Linked DNA regions of Coturnix japonica. The main gene of each other region encodes a partner of the protein of the gene in region 2 in a complex. Links are inferred from orthologs where the notes say so. Each region holds a gene or a part of one and is shown on either strand. Other genes may lie near its edges.

What was found.
Region 1: the proteins of AP2A2 (region 2) and ITSN1 are in contact, whole or in part, in a crystal structure (PDB 3HS8), measured with the Mus musculus proteins. The link is inferred for Coturnix japonica from reciprocal best matches to the Homo sapiens genes AP2A2 and ITSN1. Residues at the interface, in XP_006536218.1 of Mus musculus: Glu308, Gly320, Val321, Glu324, Gln329, Gly331, Leu332, Lys333, Phe346, Gly348, Asn349, Lys350, Gly386, Ala387, Gln388; in NP_034717.2 of Mus musculus: Asn841, Trp843, Ala844, Phe846, Ser847, Ser848.

The regions. Positions count from the first base shown.
Region 1 is NC_029516.1:94,931,962-94,935,611, reverse strand, and holds part of ITSN1 (intersectin-1), read right to left. Parts: coding exon 3,625-3,650; intron 2,615-3,624; coding exon 2,455-2,614; intron 1,607-2,454; coding exon 1,401-1,606; intron 737-1,400; coding exon 654-736; intron 1-653. UniProt on the Homo sapiens protein: Adapter protein that provides a link between the endocytic membrane traffic and the actin assembly machinery. Acts as a guanine nucleotide exchange factor (GEF) for CDC42, and thereby stimulates actin nucleation mediated by WASL and the ARP2/3 complex.
Region 2 is NC_029520.1:9,441,381-9,445,811, reverse strand, and holds the start of AP2A2 (AP-2 complex subunit alpha-2), read right to left. Parts: upstream 2,886-4,431; 5' UTR 2,765-2,885; coding exon 2,698-2,764; intron 1-2,697. UniProt on the Homo sapiens protein: Component of the adaptor protein complex 2 (AP-2). Adaptor protein complexes function in protein transport via transport vesicles in different membrane traffic pathways.

The sequences.
Region 1 (3,650 bases), on a different chromosome or scaffold from region 2:
ATTAATTTACTCTGACTGTGATTAAGTTAACCTAGCAGACATTGCACTGAAGTGGATTAGAGTGCCCACAGTCTGTCACCGCAACTTGTATGGAGACATTAACCTCCAGTTGAAGAGTGGTAACAAGCAAGAATACAAGTCTTTTAAAATCCTCCGGAGACCTGACAATTATCTATCTGTCTGCACCCCATATGCTCTGTCCTTAAAAATGAGGGGTAGCTTTGACCATACAGATCACAACTTTCAAATAAGGAAACTACCATCAGTTACAGAGAGCTTTAATGGAACAGTGGAAATGAGTATTGAGTGAAACTGAGACATTCATTAATAATTCCTCGCATCATGAATTACCTATGAATTACAAATAAACACAGCATGAAAGTGTTTTCCTGGCCCTCTGCAAAAATCCATTCTAAACAGTTCCACGGGGAACTGAACTGATACCAAAATATTTACATATGGAACACTATAAACTGTAGAAGAAATGTTCAAATACTGTTTCTGCATATAAAACATACACAAATTTTTACAAGCCTGATATTAAAACAAGCCTGTTTTGTTGATCCTGGGCTCATATTTTGCTAATACACAGACTGCTTACATTTAATCACATAGTAAAATAGTGCTAATGCCATCCAGTCTGGAATGCTTACCTTCACCTGACATAGTTGCTTTAGCTGCTGGTGATGCTACTCTTTTCAGACTAGCAGGACTTTCTGAAGAACCAGAATCCATGCTTTACAAGAGAATAACAGTTATTTAAGAAATTAAATCTCTTCAGAAGATGCTTAATGTATGTTAAAAATAAAACACATACATGTATCCTTAAGCAATTCCCTAAATTTTCTAATAAACAGTAAACTTACAAATTACATCTTTAAAGTATGATGGCTAGTTGTAGTTATAATTAAGTAACTGCATGGAATACACCATTTGTTGCCTCTCCTTATCCGTCAGAAGAGAAAAAAATCTAAAAACATTCTAATCAGTATCAGTGATGTTAATGCTGACCTCACCTTTCACAGAACTAGATTCTAATTGTTTCATCCTCCAAGAATAATGATAAGTGATTAAGCTCTGATGTATTGTATTTTATTCTGAGAAAAAGATAAGCTGAAACTTATGCAGCTATAACTCATAATGTCAAAATAGTAATTTCTTAGTTGCAAGCGACTTTTAATTAAGACTGCTGATTAAGCTTTAGGTCTATTGGTGGTGGTGCGTAGTACAAGGAGAAATGAGGTCAGCTTACATATTCCTCATCTGAATTTTCAGAGACGGGAATAAAAACCTAACAGAGAAGAGTCACATCAAAACTTTAAAACTCAAGTGAGCAACTTTTCACATTAATTTAACCAAAATAGTATTGAAGTAAAGTACAGTATAAGCATATACAATACCTTGTCGACTTCCTAATGGGGCCTGAAATAAGCTTCACATATGACTTAGGAAACCACCCCTTTTGTCCTTGAACTTCTCCAAACCACCACATATCTTGCTGCTCTAAAACTGTGATGACATCATTTTTGTTAAAATTAAGGTGGTTGTCTTTTTTTGCTCTCCAAGGATACAAAGCCTGTGCTTGAAGTCCCTCCACCTTTTCACCCTAATGCAATTTAGAGAAAAAAGAGAGAGAATTCAGCCTTGCAACACTTTTCATAAAGGCAGCTTCTTAAGGAGTTACATTCTTATACAATCTATATAGCCCCAAAATATGGTGACTTCTCATCTGTATAAAGCAAAATATGTCAGTCAAAATTACAAAGTAATACAAGAAACGCCCACAGCCCTCCTACATTTCTTTCTGTTAATGTGTAATCTCTACAATGCAAGACTATTTGGGAGTTTGCTTCTTCGTAAGTTCAACAATTAAGATATAGATACAATAAACCGTGACAAAGTTATTTTGAAAGAGTTTGAAGTAAATTTTATGGAAAACTATGCTTTGCTGCTAGTAATACATTGCATATTCCTACTTTTTAGTTTTGCTCAAAGACACTTAGGTATTTTGCATTTATCAGAACAACACATTAGCTTACAAGAACGATGAGCCAAGTTGAGGAAAGCACAGTCTCTTACAGATGGACTGAATTCATCTTATGTGAAGCTTAATCTCATCTACACCACTTAACCATATAATCCACTCTGGAACAAACACTGTTGCCATGTGATTTAATAAAGCCCAAAGGAAGTGATTCAAAAGTAGCACCCAGCCAAAATTTTAAGATGGGACCACTGTAGTTCAAAAAAGCCAGCAAAGAACTGCAGAAGAACAGCTGCTTGTTTGTGTTAGATTCTGCCACTGACTTTGTTAATGGGTGTATTCTAATACTTTTATCACTCTAAACTGTCATAGTTTGCACACTCAGGGAAGGATTTCAATTGTAAATATTCTCTCTGCTATCCAGAAGTTCATGCTGGCTCAGAACAGTTCCAGTGAACACAGCTGCTCACCTGACCCAATACAGGAGAGGGAGACGATCCTGTAACAGTGGCAGGGGTGAAGGCTGATCTCTGCCGCAGCTGCCCTGCACTGGGAACAGTCAAAGACGGCTGAGCTGCCCAGGCATCCCAGTTGTCTGTCTCTGGTTTCTCATTAGTGTTTGCTGGCCATCTGAAAATAAGTGAATTACATTATTCCTACTGTTTTCAGGGGAGTAAAAATGCTCATGTGCAAATAAATAAATTCAACATTCTTGGTCTATTTCTTGTAATTCAATATTCCATGAGTGATTAGCAGCTTAACTCTGCAGTGAAGGTTATGCAAACAAAGAAAGTGTTACAATAAATATATTTCTATAAGGCAATCTCTAAGAATAGTTAATTGTTCATTGGTGCTTATTTATGGCCAACCATTTCTGTAATTTAGTTTCATTGTTTAGGTGTGCCCCAGTACAATGAAAATGTTAAGTACTGCAATCTATATTACATACAGTCACTGATGGCTCTCACATGCCTCTGTGTTATGCCTCATAATGCTACTTCAAATCTTTAACTCTTTTCTTTTGCTTAAAATTATTTTCTACTGACTTTTTTAACTCTAGAGGTAGTTTTAACACTACTTCTTATCCTCTTTATGCTCTTATATTTTAAAATGTCCAACAAGTCTCATGATCTATATCTCTGCCTCAAAGTACCCTCTTAGATTATCAAAATTCAGTGAACTCAAGGAGTATAAGAAAATAATCCAACTTAAATCTTCTCTGCCTGCTTTCTTTGCCTGTTTCATGTGCTCTTAGTTGAGTAATCAGTTGTACACCTGGACTATAATAGTGCCAAAAGGCGATAACTAACAAAACTCTTTTCATGTCAGGGACAGCATTACTAATTTTATATGAAAAACATGAAAATGTGTATTATCTGCCTAGATAGGATAGGAGAATGATTCTAGTTTTACAAGGCTGCAATTGTAACTATTTACTACAGAAAAATATTTTACTTGTAATACGTTACTTTGTAATAATATATATATATATATATATATATATATATAGTGTAATTTACTTTGTAATATGTTACAAAACATTTTTCTTTTGCAATCTGTGTACTTTGTTTTAACTACTTATCATAGTCCAGTCAATTAAAAAGTACACACTTGAGGCGATAATCACTACCCAAACATACGTTGAACTGAAGTCTGCCCAGTTGTT
Region 2 (4,431 bases):
ATACTTGTAACAGAATGATACATTGTTTAGAGCCACAGACACTGTAGGTACAAATGCCCAAGAAATAAAAGTTGCTGCATGACGAAGCATTTCTAAAAAGAAAAGCTCTGAATTTATGTAAGCGTCTCTTGAAAGTTTTATGCTGTTACCTTGGAAACATGCTCTGCATCCACCTAAGCACAGTTCACATATATCTACATTTTCAATATTCAGCAACAACTACGATGCAAATTCTCTATCTGTGTAAAGTCTTTCAGAAAGAGTCTTACATTATAATCTGAAGGGGCTGCAGACAAATTCAAACTTCAGTCATATATGGCAGAATTACAGAAGAGATAAATGAGTCAAAGCCAAAAGTAAGATGAAAATTGGGACTGCCAGCAGGTATTTTTCACATCAGTACAAGTGTCAGCTGCACTTGGTGTCCAGCTTCCCTCCCATCCAGAACAGGAACATTTTCTTATTTCGCATGTCAAAAGATCTTGCTTAACTGAACAGCGGTTTCTTTTTGTTCTCGACAAATATCTGCTCTGAAAAGGGAAAGGTGGAACTCAAGCCAGTACCAGTGCTTGTAAAGCACAACGTTTCTAGAGAGTGCTCTTAAGTATATTTGGGAATCTTAGATACAACAGCCCATGGTTAACCAGCAACACTTAAATCTCTCTAAACAGTAAAGATTCAGATGCCATTGAATAGCTACCACAGATCACCTACTGGTGGGAAATACCAGCTCTTTCACAACTATTTAGATTTAGAAGATGCATTACCTTCATTATGAAGATGAGAAAGATACAGAGGGGTAATTACAACCTACAAATTGCAGCCTCAACAGAGACAAAACAATCCAGAACCATCTTCGTAGGTTTGAACGATAAAGGGTTAACACCTTATTTGTTTCACAAATTAGTTACATCTTTGCTACTCTTGCAGACACTGCTAGCATGAATGGTTTGTTACTCAAATCGAACAGAGATGGTTGTTCCATCCATTCCTGCGCTGCTTACAAAATGGAAAGTCTGTGAGGAAATCAGTAGCTAATTTGTTCTATCCTTCTACCTCCAATCTTCTTATTCCACATCCTTTAACATAGGCTAGGTACCCCCAGAGCTTGACTATTTTCTTGTTTTCAGAGAAATCCAATAGAAGTGAATATAAGAGAGGAGAAACGTGTTAAGCAATAGCAAGACGTAAGAGATATTTGATGAACAGAAACCATAGTGCTTCTAGCCAAAGAGATGAAAGAAGTCATCCCAAAACAACAGTTACAAGAATGACAGGCATAAATTGGATGACAAGGTGAAACTGTTACAAATGTAGCAGGCATAACATAGTAATATACTTGCAGATCTCCAGGAAACATCTGGGTCAACCAGAAAAAGCTCAAGAGCACCAAAGTTGTCTTGAACTGATGAACATGTTCTGTACATGCAGAAGGCGGCTTACAGGAGGTATCCAAGGATTTGCAACTCAGTTCAGAAAACCTCTGCTGTTAAGAAGATCCAGGACCTTAAATTTACATGCAACGGTTCCTGTTTACATGACTGTAAGTCCAAATCACCTGAATTTAGTTGAATAAAACTGCACATCTAAGAGGTGTCATGTCATTGGTTGAATTTGCTCTGCAGCCTTTTCTGTTACTCCTGGAATAATTCCAAAGCCATCAACACAAAGCCCTCTGAAGCAGGAGCCTTCTCCAAGCCAGTTTGGTTATCCCAATACAAGCCCAGAGCACCATAACTTGCACTCTGAACAGCCACCAAATCCACTTCCATCCTTCAGAGTGGAGACTTTGGTGCCAATCCTTTTAGAATAGCCGCCTAGAGACACACCGGTGGACAAAACATATAGCCGTTTCATCACACCAACCACAGCGACCTTAGCCCTTCCCCAGGCAATTCTTGCCACATTGCACACTTAGATCTCTAACTCAGATTAATATTAACCTACTCTCACCTGCCATTCCCACGGCAGGGGAGGGTGCCAAGTACCCCCTAGCCTCCACAACCCCCTCCAAGCAGCAGCCTCCTCCCCCTCCTCTCCCTATAGAATGCCCTATACAAGGACGTCGCATCCCCATCCCTTAGGGGGCACCTACCGGCAGCCCTCTTTATCCGTTTTTTTTTTTTTACTGAGCAAATCCCAAGAGCTGTCTTCCGTCAAACCAGAATTTTAAAGGCGGCTTAAGCCAAGCGTAAACACAGCCAGCGAAGGCCCAGCAGAGGCCTGCTGCTTTCCTACGGTGCCTCTGAGCATCGCCAGCCGCCGGCAGGTCAGGGAGACCCGCGATGCTCCCCGCGGCACGGCACAAGCCCACCCACCCACCCCGGCCTCACTCCAACGATGGGCATCGACCTCCTCTCTCTGTCTCCCCCAACAAATGGGACCGCGGGGGAGAAGGAAGCACCGAACCGACGATATACACACGCAAATAACCCCCACTCCCGCATGGAAAGCCTCCTGTCTCATCACCCCCCCCCCCCCCCGCATCTCCCGCCGCCCCCTGGGGCGCGTCGCCATTTCGTGAGTAGATCACCGAGAGCGGCTCGCTGCGAGGGAGGGAGAAGGGAAAAGCACCGGGGAGGTGACAGGGGAGTCGGATGAGGGACGAACGCCCCGACCCGAAGCACAACAGCCCCCAACGACCGCCGGCCCGGCCCCGTTCAGCCCAGGCCCCGCCGCGCCTCAGCCGCCACTCACAGTTCCGGATATCGGAGATGAAGACGGCCAGGCCTCGCATCCCATCGCCCTTCGACACCGCCGGCATCGTGGCGCGCGATCAGGGCCGCCCAGCGACACGCCGAACCACCGCAACTACCACCGCCGCCGCCCGCTCACCCCGCGGGGCTCTTCAGGCCGCTGCAGCCGCCGCCTCTGCAGCGCGCATGCGCCGGGGTGGCTCCCGCGCCCCCGCGGGCGGCAGCGGGCGTGGCTGTGGCGCCCCCTGCCGAGCGGAGGCAGCTCCGCAGCGGCCCTGCCCTCTCCCGCAGCCCCTCGGCCGTTCCCGCAGAGGCCCGATCATCCGCCCGCCCCCCCGCAGCTGTGCTGCTGAGCCTTAATATCCCTCCACGGCCATCAGGACAAATAGGCCCCGACTGTAGGCCCTAAGCCCTGTCACAGAATCACAGAATGACCCGGGTTGGAAGGGACCTCAAGGATCATGTAGTTCCAACCCCCTGCCTGGCAGTGCCACCAAACACACACATTTACTAGATCAGGTTGCCCAGGGCCCCGTCCAACCTGGCCTTGAACACCTCCAAGGACGTGGCATCCACAACCTCCCTGGGCAGCCTGTTCCAGGGCCTAACCACTCTCCTAGTGAAGAACTTCCCCCTAACATCCAACCTAAATCTTCCCTCTTTTAACTTAAAACAATTTCCCCATGTCCTGCTATTGTCAGCCCTTTTGAAGAGTTTACTCCCCTCCTGGGAGTAAGTTCCCTTCAAGTATTGAAAGGCTGCAATGAGGTCAATACAGTTGACCTGAATTATGTGTGGCTCTTCACTACTCTTCTGGCTACCAGGGCATGCAGGTGCGCAAGACATGCTTCTTCTGAAGATCACAACCAAGCAGAGCAACACAGTCCCACACCAGAGAATTTGGACTGCATGGAGCATTTAATCTCATCAGCTGGAAATAGATTCAAAGAGCATCAAAACTGACCTAGTATGCCTAAACAACAGTGTGTTGAGAGGTTCAGCATACTTAATGCATTATAAAGACCTCTATAAGCATTAAGGAATACTAGAGACTGCTCATTTAATGTTTTCTTGCATCCTTCAAGCTGATAATTTTCATCTACACCTTCATCTTTTCCTTTTCTTTCCCATTTGCTTTTATTTATTTATTTTTGCCTGAATTGAGACCAGTAATTAGATTTTAGCTGCGGACTGTCTTCTAGAAAGGCATACAACCCTGATCTGAAACCACCAGTTTCAGTGTTTCCCTGGGTAGTTTGTTCCTGTAGTTTTATGTTCTGTTCTTAAAGCTTGCATCTTAAACTTGTAAAGCTTCAGTGCCTCCAAATAATGATACACTTTAACCTCATGTAGCAAGACCCACATAATATTTTCTGGTAATGGCTGTATATATGGCATAGGTCATCTCTCAATGGTCTTTTCCGTGTGTTTTCAGGATACATTTTTACACCAGTGCTTTGTTATTGTGTATCCATTCCAAAGAGAAGATTGCAATATCTGGTAGTCATCACTGTATCCATTTTCTTGTGCACAACCAGTCTTGATACAGATTCCCTGCATATGGAGGCTTACATGAAAAGAATTGACTTAATTCATAGCTTTACAATCAGACTGGATGCATAACAACAATCTTCAAACCACAAGACTTCAAAAATAGAAATCTTTCTCAAACAAACACACAAACATACTTGTGTTTGAGTTAGCCAAAATAAAATGTTGAACTAATAATATCTAC